Cricetulus griseus: one gene and its partners. The protein of the gene in region 4 interacts with the protein of the main gene of each other region in a pairwise test. Links are inferred from orthologs where the notes say so. Each region holds a gene or a part of one and is shown on either strand. Other genes may lie near its edges.

Region 1 (4,641 bases), on a different chromosome or scaffold from region 4:
AGGAACCAGGACCAGTTTCCAGCACCGACATCATCTATAACTTCTGTCCAGGGGTCTGACAGCTCTTCTGACCTCCAGCTCATTCCTGCACACACGTGGTACACAGCACACCGGAGCCAAAAAACCAACACACAGAAAATTGTAGAAATGCTCAAAGATTTACTTTTCCCCCCCTGAGGAGTCTGTATATCCCTGGCTGTCCTGGAACTCACCCAGATCCATCTGCCTGTGCTTCCTTAGTGCTGCAAATAAAGGCACCTGGGGAGCGGGGATTAAATGTGCATGCAGGTGGATGCAGGTTAAAGAGGAAGAGACTAAGCCTTGGTCACCTGGAGCTGGAGTTAAGAGAGACTTATAAAAATGCCCAATGTGGGTGCTAGGTAGGAACAATTGCTGAACCATCTCTCTAGCCCTTAAAAGAGTAATTACACTTTCATTTAGTGTACATGTGGGCAGGTGCACACCATATTACACATGTGGAGGTAAAGAACAACTTCTGAACAGTGATTCTCTTTCCAACTTACTCAAACTCAGGCCTTCAGGCGAGGCTTCAAGTAACCTTACCTGCAAGTCAGTGGTTCTCACCCTTCCTAACACTGAGACTCTAATACAGCTCCTCATATTGTGGGGATCCCCCAACTATAAATTATTTTCCTTGCTATGTCAGAACTGTAATTTTGCTACTGCTACGAACTGCAATGTAAATATCTGTTTTCTGATAGTCTTATGAAATCCTAAAAAGTCTCAACTGGAAGGTGGAGAACCACTGTGTTAAGCCTACGCTCCCACTGGTCCCTGAAGCCTTCATTTTGTTTGTTTGGGTTTTTTGTTTTGTTTTAAGGTAAGGTCTCAGTGCCTGAAGAAATGGCTCAGTGGTTAAGAGCACTGGCTGTTCTTCTGGAGGACTCAGGTTCAATTCCCAGCATCCTCATGGCAGCTCCCAACTGTCTGTAACTCCAGTTCCAAAACACCAATGCACATAAAATAAAAATAATTAAAAAATAAAACTGCCTCCCAAGTGCTGGGGTTAAAGGTATGAGCCATCACCACCCGGCAACAAACCTAATTTTAAAGAAGTTTCTTGTTCTCAATAGAGATTGCTCTGTCCTTTAATCCCACTTCCTCTCTTCATAAATACTGAAATGGGAGCAGATAAACGCACACTAAAATATCACCCTTAACACCTGATAAGATAGACAATTGCTTGTCTATCTCTAAATATGTCAGGTTTTTTTATTTTGTTTTGTTGGCGACAGTCTTGCTACATAACCCAGACTGGCCTAAACCTCTATCCTCCTGCTGCATCTCCTAGTGCCGAGATCTCCTCCGTCCCTTTTCCTGAAACTATAGCTAGAAACCTTGCTGATTGCTATACACTCCCATCCCTTTGTTCATCTTACAAAAGAAAGACTCTTGAGTTCAAACCCAGCACGTCTCAAAATAGCCAGTAGGGGTCTGTTGTGGGGACCCACACTGTAACCTCAACACTCAAGAGACAGAGGCAGCAGCTGTAAGTTTGAGGCCATCAAGGGGACTACCCAGAGATATCTTGTCTCAAAGAAAAAAGAAAAGAAGGGAGGGAGGGGAAGAGAGAAAGAAAGGAAGGAAAATTGACTGTGCAAGATGGCAAGACATTGAATGTGATACAAATGGGAGCCTTCCTTTTCCAGCTGCCTCCAAGGTCAATGATTCATTCTGTGCAAAAATGAACGAGTGATTCGAGCCTTTCTTAAAACGGGCTTTAACAATTTATTTAAACAGGACACAAAAGACCACCACCTCTGGCCACCGCCCATCCTGACACTACCCCCAAACAGGCCTAAGACAAAATGGCAGCAAAGACAGTCTCCATCTACCTGACTGGGGACAGATGCAGGTATGCAGAGACTAGATTCTATCCTGTTGCAATGAGTCAAGCAATCAGACTCCGGCAGCAGATCTCCTCCCAATAAAACTTTCATGCCATAGACCAAGGGTGACCCAATCCAGCGTCCGTAGAGATAGGTTTTACATTACCTTTCTCCTCACCCTCATGACCTTACTATTTTCTTCTCATTCCTGACCACATTCTCCTCCATCAGGCCCAGAGACCAGCAGTAACAGAACTCCCAAAACGAACAAGTCTCTCCAAAAGAGAGTCCACCACTTAACTAATCAAGTGGGGCTGCGTTTTAATGGGGGAACTTTACCTCCCCACCTCCCCCTTCCTTCAAAGGACTGGCGTAAGCAAGGGCTTCATTTTCTGTTCCGGGAATCCTGGTACTTCCTAGAGAAAGAAAGCGGATTGGAAGACACAAACTCAGGGCCAGTGACAAGATGCTCCCTCCTCCGATGAGACCGCCCCCGCTACGCCTGGGGGAGGAAGGCCCCACCTCTATCCTCCAAGCTAGCTCAGGTCCCCCTCCCCCTTCTCCAGCCTCCTCTCTCCACCCTCTCCCCACCTGCTGCCCTCTTCCCAACCTGCCCTTCCCAACACCCCAAAGCAGGGCGCAACCTCCATGAAAACGGTGGGCAGCGGTGCCCCACCAGCAGGCCCTGATACCAAACCCCGGCTCCCATGCCTCACGACGGGCGAGGGAGAATATAACCACAGCGAGGCTTTTCTTTGGTCCCCCCACAGCTCAGGCGGGGGAGAGAGGGGGAAAAAAGAAAAGAAAAGAAAAAAAAAAAAAAGGGCAGCATTCCTCATAGCCCTTCAACAGAAGGAAAAGATCCAAACAGCCACACCGCCCCCGCATCACCTCCCACCGGTCAACTCGCCTCCCCCTCAAGCTCGAAAGCTCCACCTCTGCAGCCCAGGTCGCCCCCTCCTCGGGCGAGGCGGAGGACGGAGCCCGCGTGCGCCCCCCCCGCCCCCACCCCGGCTCGGCGTCCTTCAGCTGCGGGGGCAGGAGCGGGGCTGGGGACCACCGCCCCCCGCCCCTCGCCCGGCAGGAGGGGCCTCGGGCTCCTCGGCTCGCAACCCGACCCAGCCAGCCTCTTCTCCCCTGCCCCGGACCCGCCTTCCCTCTCCAGCTCCGAACCTGTTCCTGCGCCCAGCGCCGCGGCTGCCACCGCCACCTCCGCCCCCGCAGGCTCCGCTTGGCTCTCGGGCCGCTGCCTCCCGCTTCCCCGAGCCGACCGTGGCGGCGACGCTGGTCCGCTGGCCCGCTCCCCGGCTCCCCTCCTTCCTTCCCTCCACCTAGCACCGGAAGCCGCGACGGCGACAGGAGATGTGCGGCGAGCCCCCACCCCCAGTCCGGGATACTTCCCACCTCCACGATCGCGCGAGAAGTGCGCGGTAGCGAGCGGCAGTTCTCGCGAGACCCATCACCATGGCAGCGGCTGCAGCAAAAAGCGGTCGGGTGCTGAAGCAGAGCCTGGTGTGGGGGCTGGAAAAGGCTGAGTGTGGAGATGAGGCTGTGGTGTGGGGACCGAGGTGCGGCTCCCAAGCTCCGGGGCCTGGCCTAGAATTGAGGACTGAGACCACATTCGGGCCGCGCTAGAGGCCCGACCTGAACAAGGGAGTGTCTGGGGTTTCTCAGGCTGAGCCAGCGGTGGAGTGTGGATGCGAAAACCTTTGTTGACACCTGCCCCTACTCCGGTCTTTATTTCTAATAAACACGCAGCACCCCACCTGCTGCTGCTGCTGCTCACTGATCCCTAAGGATGGTTTCTCTGAGGTCTGAATCGGGAGATCGTTTCTCATAATGGAAGAGGGGAGAGATTAATGCATTTGAGATACTGGAGGAAACGTCTGGAATCTGGGTCGTCTAGGAAGTTGAAAGACGAAGGGCAGAAATGTTAATTACCCAGAAGCAGGTCTGATGAAGTCTCTTTGGATGAGTAGCCGAGGACAAAGCACCCATGGTCCCTCCTTCCTTCCTTTAGACTCATTTTTCTTTTAAACGTGATGGAGACGCTGCTTGAGACTGGTTAGAAGCTATATTGGAAGCTGCACTAGAGGGGCCCTCACTAGTAAAACTGAACACCGCGTTCTTTTTTTTTTTAATTTTATTTATTTATTTTGTATACTGTGTTCTGTCTGCATATATGCCTGAAGGCAAGAAGAGGGTGCCGGATCTCATTACAGATGGTTGTGAGCCACCATGTGGTTGCTGGGAATTGAACTCAAGACCTCTGGAAGGACAGCCAGCGCTCTTAACCGCTGAGCCATTTCTCCAGCCCCCACCACATTCTTTAAATGCATGTCATATATGGAAAAACAGCTTTTCCCTAGAACCTGACCCAAAATTATTGCTCTTATCTTCTTCTGAGAAATAGGCTGGCCAAGTGGTGGTGGCACACACCTTTGATCACCGCACTCGGGAGGCAGAAGCAGACAGATCTCTGAGTTCGAGGCCAGTCTGGTCTACAGAAAGAGATCCAGGACAACAAAAAACTACACAGAGAAACCCTGTCTCAAAACACACACACACACACACACCCTGAGCAAATTGAGAACATGGGGAGAGGGGGGAGGAAGCTACGAGAGTGAGAAGGGAAGAAAAGGAAGGATACAGAGGTCATGAGGAAGCAGAAAGGTTGAGTCAGGTATAGATTAGAAGAAAGGACATATGATAGGTAGGATTTTAGTTGGGGGGGTGGTAGGGGAGAAAGGGAGGGAGAAGGGAACTGAGATTGTCATGTAATTCAATCTTG
Region 2 (4,571 bases), on a different chromosome or scaffold from region 4:
CTTAATCTTATGATCCAGTGTCACTAAGCATTCCAGAAGGATGGAGGCCAAGAAGGAACTGCTGGTTTGGCTCAAAGTGGCCTCTCATTTCCCTGAGGTCACTGGTTTCATTGGTACATTTTGATCCTCCCCTTGGGGAGAGGTAACAGGAGGTTCGGGGAAGGAGGTAAAAGATACCGTTGACTTAAACTTGGAAGGATGTTTGGCCATAAAAATAAAACCGTGGGGCTAGAAAGGCAGCCTACTCAGTAAAGTGTTTGCATTTTAATCCTGAAGTCCCAACTTCAACCCCCAGAACATACTAAAGAAAAGCTGCAGAGGGTGATGTGTTCTCTCAGTGCTATACAGGCAGAGCCAAGCGGATCCCTGGCCAGCCAGCCTATTCTGCTTGGCAAGTTACAGGCCAGTAAGAGATCTTGCTCATCCTGATCCCTATGCCCAAAAGAGTCCAAAGGATAGTGAGATGACTCAGTGGGAACAGTGCCTAATGTCAAGTCTGAGAATCTGAATCTGACCCCTGGAACCCGCATGGTGGAAGTAGAGAACTGATTCCTGCAAGTTCTCCCCTGACCTCCGCACAAGCGTTGTGGAATGGGTGTGCCCTCTGTTCCCTCAATAAATAAGCAAAATATTAAAAAAGAAAAGGTGGACAGTTCCTGAGGAATGACACTCAATGTTGTTCTCTGGCCTCCATATACACTTAAACACACAGGCACGAGGATACACACACACACACACACACACACACACACACACACACACACACACACACACGTGCAAGTCCAAATGGCTTTGGGAAGAGACTCCTCTACTTTGATAAGAGTCTAACCCGTGTCAGGGTTAGGTAAGTTGCCAGAGGAGCGGCTAAGAAGACTAAGAAAGCAGGAAGTATGTGGGATACTTCCCCACACTTCCAGAATCTAATCCTCCTATCCATCCTAATGAACAAAAAAACGTTCTCCTTTCTGCAGATCCTGGTCCAAAGGCACTATCAGTCAGTTGCAGTTATTCTGTGTATTGGGATCTCCAGGGAACTTTAAAAAAAATTAGCTGACTCTGGGTGCTCCCTTAGAGACACTGGTTTAATTAGTCCAGGCTGGCAACAGTACTTTTCAAAGCTGCCAAGTTATTAAATACAGCCAGAGTTAAGAACTAACTACTGTGGTAGATAGGAAAAGGAGATATGGAGCTAGAAGGAGTTCAATAAGTCACCTTCAGAACTAGTGTTCCATAAATGTGCCACACCGTCAGGTGGGTCCTGAGTAGCATTTGTTTTGATAACATGTGGGCAACACTTCTATGCATATGTTTCCATATACACATGTGTGTATACATATATATATGTATATATATACATATATGCCATGTATATGTATACATACAAGTTAATTGTATAAATATATTTGAATAACTATTAGAAATGTATAACCAACATATCAAATTTGAGATGCAATGTATATTACTGCTGAGGATGAAGCTAAGTTCTAGCCAAAGGTTAGGCAGCAACTCTACCACGGAGGGCAGCTTTTCAAGCGTTCTTGGGATTTGAACACAGGTCCTCACAATTTTGCAACAAGTCCTTTACTCATTGATCCTTTGTCCTGGCCCCTGAAAATGATAAATTTTGGTGTTAATGTTTTCAGCCTGAGCTAAAAGGCTTGGTTTTGCAAGATCAACTTTGTATTAAACTTAGGCAAATATATGGTAAATATGTAACAGGGAAGGATAGCTTGGGCCAACACCGAGGGGCTGGCAAGTTAGGAGCTCAGTGGTAGACCACACCTATCTCAAGACTAATATATATAGCATCACTGTCTCATTCCTATGCCGCTGTACTGGGCTTAAACCCGAACCCACACCAGGGTCTTCTAGACTCACAGTCAGTCTGATCCCAGCTGCCACCGCCTCTGCTTTCCGATTCAAATCGGAGCTAAACCTAAGGTGGCTTGGCTACCAAAGCATAGTGGGGCAGAAAACCAAGGCTCCCACGGTTTTCAGCTCCACAGCACAAAAGGGAAGCCAGAGTGACCCAGATCCAGGTTATGCAAACTCACAGGAGGATGAGTGACATGAAAACCCTAAAGGGAGCAAACAAAACCCGCCTGCAGGAAAGGCCCTGCCTTGCTAACATTTCTTTCTATTTGACATTCTCCGGGCATGATGCAACCCCAGTTGCCCAATTTATATTTACACATCCCCCTTGTCCACAAGGAGCTTCGAAAGCTCCCAACTGTACAGCATTCCTTGCCCAAGTTCAAGTGTCTAGTTCCACAAGGTTGCAGGGCGGGCCTGTGACTTCAACTTTCCTAGGTACAAGCGAGGTGCTCCGAGGAGGTTTGGAATTCTCAGGTAAACTGAAAATGGACAAGGGGCAAAGGCGAGAGTTGGAGCTGACAGCCCCACGTCTGTCTTCCACTTTTCCCCACGGTTGGTTCTCACGGCCTCTTGATTACACACTGCCAACGGCACCTACAATCTCACCGTCCTCCCTGCCCCGTTCTTCCCCAATCCAAAGGGCACTGACGATGGCAAGGGTGAGTGGGGTGAAAACCATACCCAGGCTTCAGCCTCCTCCTGCTCCTCCTTTTCCCTGGCGCCTTCCGCCCCGGCTTTCCACATCCTACCAGCTTCCTGGCCACCCAGTCATCGGTACACCTTTGCACCACCCAACAAAATGGCAGGTTAGCGACAGGAGGGGCCGAGGGCGCCAGTTCCTCCACCAGGCAAGCGTAGACCCTGTCCAAAGCCCAGTCCCCGCGACTCCTCCAAGCGCTAACACCCCTCTCCTGCCCAAGTCCCTAATCTTGGGCCCTTTGCCTGCTCGCACTCTAGGGGACATTTCCATTCCAGGCCGGCGAGCAGGTGGCCGCGTAACAGGTGCCAAGCAAAAAGGCCCGGACACAGAGTGGAGGGGACCCCGAGACCGTGGGCAGGAAAAGGCCACTTCCAGGAGAAGGTGATCGCCGGGGGGACCAGACCGGGCTGGGGGCAAGGATGCTGCCTTGCCTGTCCCTGCTCCCCGGGGCTCGATCGTCGCCTACGCTGCTACCCTACTCACAATCTCCAGGCAGACGAAAGCTCCCGAGTAGGTCCGCAGGATGTCGGGGCCCACGGGCAGGGTGACCCGGGGCGCCGGGAAGGACACAGCGGGGTTCGGGGGCGGCGGGACTGCCGCTCCGCCGGCCGACATGCTGCCGCTGCTACGTCTCCGCGCACAGCCGCCACCGCCTCCCGCGTCCGCCTCCGCCTCCCTCCCGGGCTTGCCGCCGCCGCCGCGCCGCCGCGCGCCGCCGCCGCCGATCCGGTCCGCGGGGTCCGGGCGTGCCGCTCGCCGAGAGGGCGTGGCCAAGGGCCCTCTACACAGAGCCCCGCCCCGTCACGTGGGCGCAGGTGAGCACGTCCCCGCCCCGGCGCCCGCAGGGGTCACCCGTACAGGTGCGCGGTGCGCTCCGGCTACAGGGCCACCAGCTCGCCCAGGCTCTCGCGATCACCTGCTGCCCCTGCGCTAAATGTCCCGCGGGTCCCACCTCTCCATCCCACCCCACTCTCACCCGGGCCTCACCCTCTGTCCCCAGTTGGGCAGGAAGACAGAGACTGTGACTCAGAAAGCAAACGCCAGTCGCCAGGCACACCTGGAAAGCGGGATGCCTGTTTTAAAGGGGACTGTAATGGAATTTTCAAAGATGTCACCAGGGTCGTGTGGCACTTGGGAGTCGATGGCTGGCCGTAGGTCCCCGGAGGGCTGCTTTGAGGTTTCCTACTCTGTTCCGGGAAATCCCTATGAGGATATCCGCCAGTGAGGGACAGAAAAGTTCAGTGCCCAGGAAGCGCTCTGTAAACTGTAGCTTTTAGGACGGCAGCTACTTTTCCAATCCCGAGATCTGTATCATTGCTCTGTCTACAAACGATGTCAGCCGCATCACGTTTCCACACAGACCCTTTTCATTTAGCCCTCACACATGTACTCTTTGACACTGTCTTTTAACACTCAGCAGACCAAAAAAAAAAAAAAAAAAAAAAAAAAAAGGATGCTATGTATGAGTCCCTTGCCTCAGTTTACCTCGTGCGTTCCCATTGTAGTCTTGGTTTCAGTGTTAATGTCTGTAAGTGGGACAAAGGAAGGGGCATTTCTCAAAGGTCATCTGAAGATAAGTTAAATGACTCACATCAGCACACAAGTAGATCCAGTGGAAAAAACAATAGCTAACCCTGGCATGGCAGCACAAGCCTGGAATAGCAGCGTTTCATAGGATGAGGCCAGAGGATTGCCCTGAATTTGAAACCAGAAGGCTGCAAAACCGGTAATAGGACATCTAGGGATACCTAGGGAGACCCAGTCAAGCAACAAGGACACACACACACACACACACACACACACACACACACACACACACACACACACACACACACACTATCAGACAGTCTCCAAACTGAGTCTGCGAGTTGCTCCCTGCCTGGGCTGTCAGCAGGTTTTACCCTACGTCTTTATTGTTTTAATGAGCGAAACTCATAGGTGTGGTGGTGGTGGCACCAGAGGAAAAGCCACAAAGCAGGGTGTGGATGAAATCCTT
Region 3 (4,745 bases), on a different chromosome or scaffold from region 4:
GCAAAAAGAAGGGTCATCCGATGGCTAGCTGGAGCTGACGAGCCTGAGAGTGTTCCAAGTCCGAGGGAAGCGTTTTTTCCTGGAGGGGGTCTCAGGAGGTGCAGGTGCCAGACCTGCAGCTATCACCCTGCCTCAGATGGATAATGGGGAGTCAGGAGAGGCAGAATGGGAATCTTGAGTCTCAGCATGTCCCATAAAGTGAGTGTCCTATACACAAAGAGGCTGAGCCTTGAAAACTGACGAGTACAGATCTTCACAGGAGTCATTCATAGAAATGGGGTTTAAACACAGGCCCAAGGAACGCTGGAGCCCTATTCACTTTCTCGTATTGTAGCTCTCCATTAGAAGCCCTCCTGTGGATTCTCTCCAGTCTGGGTGGCACTGCCCACAGTGCCATTGTCTTAGAGAAATAGGGCTGTTAGAGCTGGTGGCAGAAGACCCTGTCCTTTTTGGCCTCAGTATTGCAGTGACTGATTCCTTGGCCTCTGAGCTCTGATGTGTTCCACCTGCTTGCCAGCCCCCCTTCCTGCCTCCGCCTTCCTCCCTGTACTTAGGCACGCAGAGCAGAGCCTCTAGCTCAGCCCCTCCCCAGCTGGCAGCAGCTGACAAGGCAAATGGGGGTTAATCTGGCCCCTGCTAAGCAGCGACATGTCTCTTGCTGAAGAAGGCGGGGGACTTTCTGGAACTCGCCTGGGTCTTATCTGCAGAGGTTTGCCCCAACGCGTCTTGGGAGCAAGCAGAGGTTCAGTGACATGTGCAGTTGGCTGGTGACAGGACCATCAATCAGACTCCTGTCAGCCTGAGCCTTCTGGGCTTTTGTGAACTAGCCAGGACCCTGGGCTGGGGGGGGAACTGAAGAGGTAGGAGGGACTTCTGGAATTGGGGTGGTGGGAGGGCTGTGAGAGGAGAGAGCATGCCCAGGTATCAGGGATGGGAGAGAGGGACAGGCACCGGCTTTTTTGGTCAACTCGTTTGGAAGTTGACTTGAGACCCTATTAGCCTGCACTGTGGTCACCTGTGTTCTCATTCCCGGGGACTTCCATGTCCCGAAGGCTATGTATAGGGCGTTTGAGTAGGTAGTACAGAGCAGTGGTGGGAGAAACTGAAAGCAGGAAGCTTTCTACCTGGGGTGAGGCTCACATGCCAGCAGTGGGCTGGGGTGGGAGGCAGAGCTGGCCTGGCTGCTCTAACGGGATGGGACATGAGGGAACTTGGGTGCTATGCTGAGGGTTTGCTCTTGTGGCTCTCTTCTCCTTCCTGGAGTGAGAAATGAACCTGTAATCCAAGTGTTAAAACCATGGCCTAGAGCAAAACCCCATTAATTCTGAATCATCTCTCTTGTTGCATTAAGAAAAAAAAAAAAGAAAAGAAAAACTCACCACAAGCGAGCCCTGTGGAGGTGTGCAGGCAGCTGTATTTGTCTGGAAGGCAGAGGAGTTGGCTCCACTCAGGGGGAGGAGGCAAGGCCCCCACCCCCTTGAAACAGTATATAAGGAATCCCAGGCTAGGGGCGACAGCACTGCAGCCTGGTTTCAGCCCAGCTCAGAAGCTCCTGCTAGAGTCCCTCCTGCTTGAAAAGGACACGAAGGCTCAGGCTGCCTGACCATGGCCACCACATTCTTGCAAACTTCTTCCACCTTTGGAGGTGGCTCTACCCGAGGGGGTTCCCTCCGTGCTGGTGGAGGCGGCTTTGGTGGAGGGAGTCTCTACGGGGGAGGTGGGAGCCGAAGCATCTCTGCTTCTTCTGCTAGGTTCGTCTCCTCGGGGGCAGGAGGGGGATATGGGGGCGGTATGAGTTGTGGTTTTGGTGGTGGTGCTGGTAGCGGTTTTGGTGGAGCCTTTGGTGGGGGTTTTGGTGGTGGCTTTGGTGACTTTGGTGGTGGCGATGGAGGTCTCCTCTCTGGCAATGAGAAGATCACCATGCAGAACCTCAATGACCGCCTGGCCTCCTACCTGGACAAAGTACGTGCCCTGGAGCAGGCTAACACGGAGCTGGAGGTGAAAATCCGAGACTGGTACCAGAAGCAGAGCCCAGCCAGTCCGGAGCGAGACTACAGCCATTACTTTAAGACCATGGAAGAGATCCGGGACAAAGTAAGTCCTCATATATATGTCAGACAGAGGGAAACAGGCAGTAGGTGCCCTGTACACATATGCAACAGCAACATTGCTGTTGACTAAGAGAGTCCTTCCCTGCTGTGTAACCTGGCAAGGCTGGGATGCACCTGCTTCCCAGGCACATGTGGGAACACACGTGTTCCACTTGGCAGTGCTGGGGGAGGGGAGGGAGTGGTCTTGGGAATCTGATTTGGATACACAGGATTGCAAATGAGGGCAACAAAAGAGAGCAGCTCCTTCTCCCTGCCTCACAAAAACTTTCAGGGATTTTTGCAACTGATTGCTTTAACTTTGTGACCCGTGTGCTGTTCAGGCACAACCTCAAGAGTCCTAAATGCCAGGGCTGTTTACTTCAGGCCTCAAGGATGTCTTTATTGTTGATCATTGCTAGATCTTAGGAGACCAGGGAACTCAGTGGAGGCTGTGCCACCCCCTCACTTTCCCTTTTAACTAACTGGATCTGTTTTCCTTAGTGGCAAACACGTTCCTTAGCTGCTGTCCAAGTTCCCAATGACTGCAATGTTTTGGAGATGAAGGGCTCTGTCAAGGCACGCAGGAGGCAGCCACTGTGAGCTGTGCCCAAGTAGGCTGGTATAGTGTGTCTCCCGAGAGTCCTGACCTGACAGAGCCAACTGTATCCATTGCAGCACGGTCTTGACTAGCCATGCCCCCAGGCAATCCCAGGCAATACTGCCTCGTTAGTTTTCCATTCCTTGAAGATGCCACAGGGAAGGGAGCATGGGCCAGCACAACTGATGCACACAGGAAGAGAAGCTGGGCAGTAGTTGGCGAAGGGGGTCGTGCAGCAGCCCTAAGGTACAACTCTGTCTCCTGCAGATACTGGCGGCCACCATTGACAACTCGCGTGTCATCTTGGAGATTGACAATGCCAGGCTGGCAGCGGATGACTTCAGGCTCAAGTGTGTTCCCATTTCTCCACCCCTGTCCATTTCACCCCCTCTACCTAGCCTTCCTCCTCTATGACTCAGAACCTGGGCCCCTCACCTTTCCTGACTTTGGCTCCTCTCCCCTCCCCAGGTATGAGAACGAGCTGGCCCTGCGCCAGAGTGTGGAGGCCGACATCAACGGGCTGCGCAGGGTGCTAGACGAGCTGACCCTGGCCAGGACCGACCTGGAGATGCAGATTGAGCACTTGAATGAGGAGCTGGCCTACCTGAAGAAGAATCACGAGGAGGTAACAGCAAGACAGGGTGGTAGGAAGAAGCCCAGGACAGCCAGTCTTTTGTCACAGTCCTCTGAGGGCTTGGGGATTAAGAAATGTACCTGGGGGGCCCCATGGAAGAGAAGGGGCACTAATCTCTGGTAATCTGGACCCAAGGCCAAGCCATGTGTGAACTGCAGAATTGGTTTGCTTCATGGGCTTATTATCTCAAGGTCCTTGTTTCTTAGGACCCAGAGCAAGAGAGATCCTCAGAACTGAGGGGTCCATGTGTTCCAATGGGGAATAGAGATAGGGTGGTGTGATGTGCTAAGGTCACATTGTGAGTTAGAGACAGTCAGAGTTAGCCCTCAGGACTCTCGATTCTTTGTCTGCTTTATAGCCTTGTCTCTAAATGGTTGTCACTCCCACCCCTTGCAGGAGATGAAAGAGTTCAGCAGTCAGCTGGCGGGCCAGGTCAATGTGGAGATGGACGCTGCACCTGGGGTGGACTTGACCCGCATGCTGGCCGAGATGAGGGAACAATATGAGGCCATTGCGGAGAAAAACCGTCGGGATGCAGAGGCCTGGTTCTTCAGTAAGGTGGGCCTGACACCCCCAGCTCTGCTCTCTCCCTCCTTCCCACTCCAGAGGCCTCTGAGGAGGCCCATGAGGCTCATGTTTCTCATGTGTGACTTGCAGACGGAAGAGCTGAACAAGGAGGTAGCTTCCAACACAGAAATGATCCAGTCCAGCAAGACGGAGATCACAGACCTGAGGCGCACCATGCAGGGGCTGGAGATCGAGCTGCAGTCCCAGCTCAGCATGGTACGGTCACTCTCTCCCTACTGGGTGACACATGGCCAGTAAAGCCTCACCTCACACATTCCTGTCACCTCAGGCAGTCCTTACCACCCTTCCTGCTCTTCTCCCTCCAGTGGGTTGCCTTCTAGCCCAATGGGTTTATGCATCTGTCACCCCACCAGAAAGCCGGGCTGGAGAACTCTCTGGCAGAGGTGGAGTGCCGCTATGCCACACAGCTGCAGCAGATCCAGGGGCTTATTAGCAGCCTGGAGAGCCAGCTGAGCGAGCTCCGCTGTGAGATGGAAGCTCAGAACCAGGAATATAACATGCTGCTGGACATCAAGACTCGGCTGGAGCAGGAGATCGCCACTTACCGCAACCTGCTTGAGGGCCAGGATGCTAAGTAGGTGTACAGGTGCAGGGAGAAAGAAGGGGGATGGATGGATGGCCCAGGGCCATCAGAAGAGGAAATCAGGGTATCCCAAGAGCTGCTTTGTTGAGTGGAAGGAGACCTAAGGGGTCTGGAGTCTCCATTCTGGTGTTCAGCTGTTACTTTGGGCATATTGTTTCTGCTCTGGACCTGTGCTTCTCCTGTAAATGATGGACAGGGCACAGGCTGCAACTCCCCATCTGTCTGTTTGGGATGGCAAGCCTGAGGGACTGA
Region 4 (4,492 bases):
CCACAAAGTTAGTAGGGTCGCCTAGGGGATGCCTGGGGTAGGAATGTGGGAGTAGAGTCTTAGGTAAGTTTAGAAGACAGGAACAGGGAAAGCTAGTGCAGCAGGCAGGGGAGGGACTCTGATTAGGCCAAGCACCAAAGGCATTCTTGATGATATGGAGAAGGGTTACTTGTGAGGCACCAGAGCGCCCTCTCCCACAACCCCTCCAACTTTTGGACCTCTGTACAAACCCTTAGGCTGCCTCCATAGGTGAGTGATGCTGGGGGCAGGACTGGGCACACCCCAGAGGGGTTCTCCCTGGGGGCTGCAGGAGGGAGGGAGGGAGGCTGAGGAATGCCTGCCTGGAAGGGCCAGGGCCCAGTACCCCCACCCTCTTTGTTTTGGCTGAGGCACCTGAAGCTCTGGGGACTTCTGGCTGAGGTCAGCAAAGGCATCCCCTAGTGCATGCTGGGTCTGCAACAGGCTGTAGAGGTGGGCTGTCAGTGCCCGGCCCAGCTGAAGGACACTTTCATACTTGCGCTTCGTCTCACGCAGCAACTCAATCTGCAGCTCTAGCTCCAGATCCACAGTCCGGGAGCCTCGGCCAAATCTCTCTGATAACAGCTGCTTTGTGCACTGATTGGGAAGTGGGTGGGAGGTCAGAAATCTAAACTCCACCCCAACCCCGACAAGTAACTACTCCAACACCCCCATTCTCTTAGTCATAGCAAAAGACTATGTATTAAGATCTGGGGAAAAGGAAAAGGTACCCATGGAGAGTTTCTGGGAAGAGGCACTCGACTCTTACCTTATATGTGTTGATGCCCCATTTCTTGACGATGTCAAACTTCTCTCCGGCGATGCCCCGGGCCACCTCATCACCAGGGCCAGAAGGTGAGGTGCTGTGAGATGGATGGCGGCCAGACCCTAAAGGATCAAGTTCTCTAACACCAATTTCTCTCACATACAATCAGATACTTCTGTGACCTCACTTCCTTCCCTCCCAGCACATGAAATGACCTCTCTAAAAGAGGAAATCTAGATAACTGAATTCTTCTGCTCATTAGGGGGAACGGGGACTTAGGTCCCGAAAACCAAAGCAACTCAATGTATGTATTTGGCATTCCTGGGGTCGTGTAGGAGTGTTGTTGGGTGGACAGGGAAGGAAGAAACAGAAGCAAACATGATGAGTGGGACTGGAAGGGTCAAAGCTGGTGGGCACAGAAAACAGGGAAGCTGGTTTGTATTTCCAAGTAGAATTTTAGTCAGTATAAGACTCTTATAAAACTCTGAGAAGCTTCACAAAGTTGTAAATCAGCCTTAAGCTGCAGAGCTCTTGTGACTTATAGGTCTTAACTTGGCTCAGGTGGTGGCACCAGGGAAAGAAAAGACAATTGAGAAAGCTAGAATCTAAATGGCAAGTGGGAAGCAGATGATGAGCTCAGAGAGCTGATCTGGGATTGGACAGTCTATGGATTTCACACTAGCAGTTCTCAAGTTTCTCCAATCCATGATTCACGCTTTCCTATGTGTTCTATGTGCCTCCTAGTCTCCCTCCCACTCAAGCCTCCTGTCTCTTATCATTCATACCTGTGGGGATGAGTCCATCACCAGAGCCCCCATAGCCACCAGACACAATGCTAGTTTCATTGAGGTTGGGTCCTGACACCATCACCTGCTGGAGGTCCTATAGATCAGAGAAGAGGGGGCACTTCAGGAACATGGGGGTGGCTGAAATATTTTGGGGATAGAGACAGTATATAGTAAAGTCTGTATAGAATCATAATGACGACTTGAAAACTATAAGGAGGACTAACTAAATGAAGTCTATTGGGATGGGAAAAGCGAAACATTCAAGAGTCAGGATTGCTAAATTGAAACAATTAGAAGAATCAAACAGAAGCACCTGCTCCAGCCCATCGTCTTCAGGAAGCTGCCCAGCTTCACCATTTCCATGGATTGGGATCTCCATTGTGGCTGCCTTCCCTAGGATCCCGTCCGTCATGGCTAGGGAAGGTACTGGAGTCAAGGTCTCCACCCCAGCACGCTGTAAAGCCCAACACAGACAATTCTGGAAACTGGCCAGCACTCCAGAACAAGGAGGCCTTCCCTGTGTTCTAATAGGTTTCAGGGGTTGTCTGTTAGGACTTGGGTGTCCCTGGAGATCAGCCCCTACTTTCCTGGAGATGTGTATTTCTTCTCTTCCAAGTACATTATTTCTACAGATGCATGTATACCAAAGCCTTGGGTGTCTTCTCACAAACCCCAACCTCACCTTTAGTAACCTTTACACATTCAGTCACTCAACAAACACTTAGTGAGTGCCTACTATGCGTCAGATACTGAGGCAATGGGATTACAGCAGTGAGGGCCAGAGGGGAATGTCTGTGCTCTTTGGGAACTTGGCCCTGCATAGGCATGTTTACCAGAAGGCAAAACCCTTTCCTAGACTCGGATGCTCACTTGCCACTCAAGCATGCTCTGCAATCCCTGGTCTTTCAAATCCTTTGATGTTCCTTCCCCTCTTCCTTCAAATGGTCTCTCCTTTCTCCATCTCATGCACCTGCCTCCCTCAGGCCCTCCCCACCAGGCCTTAGTTGAAGCAGCTGGTGTGTTCCCGGTGTCAGTTAAAAGCTTCTTTCCCAGGACACAGGCAGTCCCTTCCAAAGTCAGTTTATGCCTTCCAGATGTGAGAGGTCCCCTCCACCACCCCCCCACACACCTGGGCATCAGGTGTGTCCTCATCCTTGCCAAGGGCTCAGGGCATCTTGCCCTCCGCACAGGTTCGTGCATTCAACTTCCTTTCGTACAAGTATGTCCTTCTCACCTGGGCCGGGCCACTCTTCCCCTCAGGGCGCGAGGGCCGGACCGCGCGGGGACCTCGGGTTCCAGTTCCCGTCGCGATCTTAGCAGCAGGTCAGAGATTCGGCGGAAGTGACGTGCCCTCTGGGCAGAAGAAGCCGGCCACGTCGCAGAGCAAAAGGGCGGAGGTGACGTTAGCAGACATGGGCTGGGCGATACTGGAACCACGCCTTGAAGCTCTTGGTGACTAGGGAGAATTTACTTCCGGGGTGACTCCGCGCCCCCAGGGAGGAAGTAAAGTGGGCTGCGTGCCCCGAGCGTGATGGAGCAGCAGCAGCAGCAACTAAGAAACGTGAGTAAGAGCTAAGTTGTTCTCGGGGTTAGACGTGCGGTTTGTTTTCTGGGGTACATGCAAGAACCCCCAGTGGGGAAGGCAGGCTGCACTGCGCACGCCAGGAACCCTCAGCGGTGGTGAAGCCTTGATCCGCTTTTCTCTTAGTTGCGAGATTTCCTGTTGGTCTACAATCGGATGACAGAACTGTGCTTCCAGCGCTGTGTGCCCAGCCTGCACCACCGAGCTCTGGACGCTGAGGAGGTGGGGACTGTGGGGACCCCAGAGGTTGACAACGTGACGTGTCCACCTCCCACCCCCCGTTTGCATCTCGGTCTCCCATGACCTCACCCCTAGGCTGGGGCCCCGGAGAGGAGGGCTTGACAGGACCCCTTTTGGTCTCTGCTTACCTCTGTCTTCCTTCCAGGAGGCCTGTCTACACAGCTGTGCTGGGAAGCTCATCCATTCTAACCACCGCCTCATGGCCGCTTACGTCCACCTCATGCCCGCCCTTGTCCAGCGCCGCATCGCGGACTACGAGGCTGCCTCGGCCGTGCCAGGTGTTACTGCAGAACAACCCAGAGACTCGCCATCAGGCAGCTAGCCATCGCCTGCCCCAGGAGAGAAGGTGCTTGGATGGGCTCCTCTATGAACCTTGGGCTTGTCGAAATTTGTACAGAAAGATTGAGCCTGAAAGCTGGGCACTATTGCTCCTTTTCTTGGAGCCAATAAACCGGGTTTTTACTCTGGTTGATTTTCTGGGCAGGAATTTATTTATGTCCACTTATTGGTACCAACCTTTATTCTGCCATTTAGTGCCTATCTTCTCCCCTCAGCCCTGGCAGTTGAGAAATTGCCTTCTGTAATGTAGTAGGACAAACTCAGCATTCTCAGATCCCCAGCAAAAACATAGTTTTAAGGTTAGTAATAGCAATGGGAAATTGGTTCCAAAAGGGGAGCTCTCAGTGGCTATCCTTGAGCCTAACTCAAATGCCTGAATATATATTGCATAATAACTAGTTTTCTTCTGAGCTGTAATACAAAAAGAATTGTGCTGCATCTAGGGGAAGAATGTGATATCAGACAACAAGAGGAAGAAGAAAACAGCACCACAATAGGCTTTAGCCACCAATTCTTAGGAGATCAAAGATAAGCCTGTAAGAATGTGGGAATATTGTCTAGAATTTCAATCATTTCCCCAGTTTACCATCTTAAATATTTCCTGTCTTTGTGAAATCAGCAATAAGGACTTTAAACAAAGAAGGGTTTTCTTCTTGTCTTCAAGGCAAGTCAGAAGGCCTACATTAGTCAAATCTAAAGAAGAGAAATCAAAGGGAAAGGTAGATGGTGATAGAGGGGTGGTTAAATATAATCTGTGTG
Region 5 (4,600 bases), on a different chromosome or scaffold from region 4:
GTTTTAAAGGTAAAGCCTTCAGGTTACCTTTGAAGGTTGCCAGGCCACCAAGTCATTGCTGTAGTCTGAAAAGAAAGGAACAGAGTTAAGCATTTTTCTTGCCATTCCTGTCCCAACTGTATTTCAGGGCAGTCAGACAGTTATGGGAGGCAAGTTCTTCAGCAAAGTGCCAGACAAGACACAATTAGAAACCACCACTCTGTGGCTGTGGTGCAGTAACAGACCCAGGCACTGCTAGCCATGAAAGAAAGGTATCCCTATTAACTGAAAGGCTCTTGAACAATTTCATGGTGGGTCAGCTGAACTGATAGCACAGGAACCACTCTACACAGCTCAACTGTAACATCCCAGATAGGATGACTCAGACATTAAATGTCACCCTGATAATGAATGCAACAGATAATTTTCATAATATAGAACCTACACCTATGGCTTTTTTTCTTGCACTTCCTATCAAAAAAAAAAAAAAAAAAGTTGAATCTAACACTTCTGATCACTGTATTTCAACAGAACTTTCTGTGATTATGGAAACATTTTTATCTGTATTACTCAAGCAGCAGCCACTAGGCAACCTGTGACTGCTGGGTGTTTCAAAGGTGACTAATGCAACTGGGGAACCAATTATTTATTTCATTTAAAACAGCACGGCTATCTGATGACGACCATACTGGACAGTGTAACTCAGGATTCAGCCAGTGGAGTAGAGGTCATAGGTGAAGTAGAGACGAGTGTTCAAAACTACACACAACCAGCTAATTTTTAAATGGTAAAGAGGAATGGGAGGTTAAGAAGCAGCTATTGCTAGAGGATTTAAATGCCTGGCAAACCAATGAAGCAGACAGTTCTCTGCAGAATTTTGATCCAAACAAGGTATTGCAAGCACATGTGGAGTAGCTGGAGAAACCTGATCCCACTGGATACTGACATTGTGTATTTTTTTTACAAATTTGTACTGCTATAAAAGTAGTACTATGGTTTTATAAAAGCAAATCTAGCCCTTGGCATGGGAAGCATCTTAGCTATGACAGCCATGGGGTGGGGAGCATATTAGCTATGACAGTTTGGACTAATGCTGTCACTGTCAGCTCATACACAGTAGGTGAGAGCAGAAAGGCTAAGTAACGGTCCTCTACTGCTCCATGGGAGGAAGCAACATTGTCATAATTAATAATATCTATATTGTCCTTAAAACTTCAGTATTCGGGCTGGAGAGATGGCTCAGCAGTTAAGAGCACCGACTGCTCTTCCAGAGGACCTGAGTTCAATTCCCAGCAACCACATGGTGGCTCACAACCATCTGTTATGAGATCTGGTGCCCTCTTCTGGTGTGCAGATATACATGGAAGCAGAATGTTGTATACATAATAAAATCTTTAAAAAAAAAAAAAAAAACTTCAGTATGCACACATTTTAAATGGCTGTGTATGTGAGTTTGTAAATCTCTAACCCATTTAACCCATTTTAGTTTTACAGCCTCCTTTACTGATCAATAAAAGACAAAGAACATGGGACAAAAATTAACCTAAAGATGGTGCTGAATTCCAAATAAGAAAACTTGTTTTGTTATACATTAAGCTACAGACTTTAACAGTAAGTGTAGCTTGTCATGGTGGTGCATGCCTTTAATCCCAGCACTCGGGAGGCAGACGCAGGTGGATCTGAGTTCGAGGCCAGCCTGGTCTGTAAGGCGAGTTCCAGGACAGCTAGGGCTATTACACACACACACACACACACACACACACACACACACACACACACACCATGAAGAGTAGGTGTAAATAGCTAAAGATAATTTATATTCATTGATCCTTTACTTAAATACAAAATATAAACTAAATACAAAATTAAAACTAAATGTAGGTATACGAGAAGTTGAGCGCCTACCCTGCTTTGCTAAATAAATTTTTAAAAATCTAAATTAGCCTCAAGAAAGACAGCTTAGAAAAGCCAGTCGAGGTGGCACCAGGTCCTTAACCCAGGAGGCAGAGGCAGGCCCATTTCTGCGAGTTTGAGGACAGTCTGTTCTACATAGTGAGTTCCTGGCCAGTCAGGGTTTTTCTCCCCTCCTCCCCCTCCCTCCCCAGGTTTTCTCTGCGTTACTTTGTAGCAGCCCTGGCTGTCCCGGAACTCGCTTTGTAGACCAGGCTGGCCTCGAACTCACAGTGATCTACCTGCCTCTGCCTCCCAAATGCTGGGATTAAAGGCGTGCTCAGTCGGGGCTTCATAGTAAGACCCTGACTTGGAGGGAGAGCAGACGCTGAGTAGGGAGGGTGTATTTTGGGGCAAGGGTAAAGTCTACCAATGAGACAACAGCCTGCTCTAACTGCGCGATTTTGTTACAGGGCAAAAGCCCTATTTGCAATCCAGATTCGCTGCCAAGCGTCTCCGTGGTTCAAGCGTTATGGAACTGCCCTTTCCAAACTTCCACTCTCCCAATCTGGTTCCCGATGCTTGACTTCTTTAAGCATGAGGCCATCTGCGATTCCCGCCACGCTTCCGCTCCTCTCCTACTAACATCACCAGGGTTTCCCGCTGAGCCGCTGACCCTAAAGCCCGCAGCCCGCCCGCCCGCCCGCACGCCCGCCTCCGCCGAGGCCGCAGCACCTGGCTGGCCGGCACCGAGCTGCACATGGAGTAGTCGGAGAGACCCACGGGTGCGGTGCCCGGGCAGCCGCAGGCAAACAGTAGAGGGTCCGGCTGCATGTGGGAATCGACGGACAGCGGCCGCGGGCCATGCGGCCGGGAAACTAGCGGCACCACGGTGGCCAGGGCCGCGTCCGCACCACAACAAGCCGCGGCTCGCCGGTCTTTGGGGCACGCAGGCGGTTACAGAGCGCGTCCCCGGCGGAGCGCGTCCCCGGCGGAGCGCGCACCCGGGGCCTGCTCGCCGTTCCTCGGGGGCGCGCGCGCCCAACAATTGACGTTCGTCCCCCCCCGTCCCCGCCCCCTCCCCTCCCAGCAGCGATGGACTCACCACATACGGGGTATGCGGGCGCCGCGGGTCACGTGGCCGGGAGAAAGGGCGGGGCCGGGAGGAAGCCGATTCGCGCGCTGTGGGTAAGGGGTTTTTTTTTTTTGTTTTTTTTTCCTTCCTTCCCGCGCCGGCGGCCCGGGTTTCGCAGAGTGTCCCCGCGTTCGCACCAGGCTCCGGGCGTCCAGTGCTTCCAGAAGTGCAGGCAGGTGCTGACCTTCAGAGCCACTTTCTTATTGCACGCCGTGCGGAGCGGAAGGATGCCCGCTTGGCGACGCTCCACCTCCCCTTTCCACTTCCGCATATGCTATCTCCAGCCTTCGGGCCGGAAGCTGCGGCGGCGGCGGCGACCGTCTCTGCGTCTCGTGACTCGGGATGGTGGCCCGTGAGGACCAAATTTAGTGTCTGCGCCGTGCTTTTAGCTTAGAAATACATTCACAAAGCTGTCGATTTCGAAAATGCATAAGACGTACGCGTCTAATAGCTAGAAGGAGATGTCTGGACAGTGCCATAAGCTCCCCTGTTGTCACGCACTGTCCCCAGAGATCTAGGGGACTGGTGAAGAGAAGGGCCTGGGGTCTAAAGGAGACAACCTGAGAGTTGAGAGTTGTGTTGGGCGTGAGGATTGCGCTAGAAAAGAGAAGAGTACGCGTGTAAAAATATATATTTAAGTAACCCGGAGAAGTTATAATATGCGGTAAGGGATTGGAGCAGTGGCCGTAGCTTGGGCATCGCCTGTGCTTGCTTCTTTGTTTATGTAAAGGGAGAACCCGAGTGCCCCACCCAAAGATCTGTCATCCGCGTTGGGTTTGGAAGGATGGCCAAACATTACCGATGAAGACGTGCAGGAGGTGGATGAAAAGCATGCCGGGTTGCAAGCGTATAGAAGAGGGACATGTTGCAAAATGTTGAGGCCGACTTGTGGAAAGATCGGGAATCATTGGTACAGCTGTTACACATTACCACTGGAGACAGAAGTACCCTACCCGTCAGTCACAAAGCCGACCTAACTTCTCATAGATTAGTTAAGGCAAACAGCAAGCGTTGGAGGACAGAAAACCTGTATAGACCTGAGAAAATCAGTGGGAGAAGTGTCAAAGGTAGCCCAAGACATAGCTCCAAGAACAAAGGAGTGACAAGAAAGTTAGAAAACTTGTGGGATTCTGGAAGTGTGGCTGGAACTGACAGGAAGGATTAGTTTTACGTTTCTGCAGCTAGCTCTGCATTATCCACTGGCTAGAGGCAGTTAAATCTAAGTGTAAAAAAAAAAAAAAAAAAGATAAGCAGTCACCTGGTTCCTAGGTGGCAGGAGGTACTGGCCACCTTTTGCTTCATTGTGTGTGCATGACTTGATGGTAGTGAAGTTTGTGCCTAGAGGTGGAGTGAGGGGTGAGTGTAGAGGCCAGAGGTCAGCACCAGTGTGTTCCTCTTATCGCTTCCACTTTGAGTCTTTCACTAAGCCTGTGAGCTTTCTGTTCAGCTGTCTGGCAGTCTCTCCCAGAGGTCTTCCCCTCTCTGCCTCCCACCTCTGGGATGGAAGTGCATGCCATTGTGCCAGGCTTTTTATGTGAATACCAGCAATCTGAATTTGGGTATCCTTGCTTGCAGAGCAAGCACTTTACCCACTGA

Evidence for each region.
Region 1: the proteins of Arfip2 (region 4) and Arf3 interact in a two-hybrid assay, tested with the Homo sapiens proteins (2 studies listed by BioGRID and IntAct). The link is inferred for Cricetulus griseus from reciprocal best matches to the Homo sapiens genes ARFIP2 and ARF3.
Region 2: the proteins of Arfip2 (region 4) and Mal2 interact in binary tests that used the Homo sapiens proteins (3 or more experiments, as listed by UniProt). The two-hybrid records come from large-scale screens. The link is inferred for Cricetulus griseus from reciprocal best matches to the Homo sapiens genes ARFIP2 and MAL2.
Region 3: the proteins of Arfip2 (region 4) and Krt15 interact in binary tests that used the Homo sapiens proteins (3 or more experiments, as listed by UniProt). The two-hybrid records come from large-scale screens. The link is inferred for Cricetulus griseus from reciprocal best matches to the Homo sapiens genes ARFIP2 and KRT15.
Region 5: the proteins of Arfip2 (region 4) and Cep63 interact in binary tests that used the Homo sapiens proteins (3 or more experiments, as listed by UniProt). The link is inferred for Cricetulus griseus from reciprocal best matches to the Homo sapiens genes ARFIP2 and CEP63.

The regions. Positions count from the first base shown.
Region 1 is NC_048595.1:395,234,606-395,239,246, forward strand, and holds the start of Arf3 (ADP-ribosylation factor 3), read right to left. Parts: upstream 3,215-4,641; 5' UTR 3,024-3,214; intron 2,267-3,023; 5' UTR 2,190-2,266; intron 1-2,189.
Region 2 is NC_048603.1:797,389-801,959, forward strand, and holds the start of Mal2 (protein MAL2), read right to left. Parts: upstream 3,191-4,571; coding exon 3,059-3,190; intron 1-3,058. UniProt on the Homo sapiens protein: Member of the machinery of polarized transport. Required for the indirect transcytotic route at the step of the egress of the transcytosing cargo from perinuclear endosomes in order for it to travel to the apical surface via a raft-dependent pathway.
Region 3 is NC_048600.1:112,451,893-112,456,637, forward strand, and holds the start of Krt15 (keratin, type I cytoskeletal 15), read left to right. Parts: upstream 1-1,605; coding exon 1,606-2,094; intron 2,095-2,955; coding exon 2,956-3,038; intron 3,039-3,156; coding exon 3,157-3,313; intron 3,314-3,718; coding exon 3,719-3,880; intron 3,881-3,979; coding exon 3,980-4,105; intron 4,106-4,263; coding exon 4,264-4,484; intron 4,485-4,745.
Region 4 is NC_048596.1:94,063,064-94,067,555, reverse strand, and holds the start of Arfip2 (arfaptin-2), read right to left. Parts: upstream 2,957-4,492; 5' UTR 2,807-2,956; exon of another isoform or gene 2,702-2,806; intron 2,027-2,701; 5' UTR 1,985-2,026; coding exon 1,886-1,984; intron 1,667-1,885; coding exon 1,570-1,666; intron 907-1,569; coding exon 788-906; intron 616-787; coding exon 394-615; intron 1-393. Other genes in the region: Timm10b (mitochondrial import inner membrane translocase subunit Tim10 B), read left to right, coding at 3,104-3,133, 3,281-3,376, 3,540-3,716. UniProt on the Homo sapiens protein: Plays a role in constitutive metalloproteinase (MMP) secretion from the trans Golgi network. May have important functions during vesicle biogenesis at certain cargo subdomains, which could be predominantly utilized by secreted MMPs, such as MMP7 and MMP2.
Region 5 is NC_048597.1:210,865,586-210,870,185, forward strand, and holds the start of Cep63 (centrosomal protein of 63 kDa), read right to left. Parts: upstream 2,861-4,600; 5' UTR 2,736-2,860; coding exon of another isoform or gene 2,704-2,735; coding exon 2,605-2,703; intron 67-2,604; coding exon of another isoform or gene 66-66; coding exon 28-65; intron 1-27. UniProt on the Homo sapiens protein: Required for normal spindle assembly.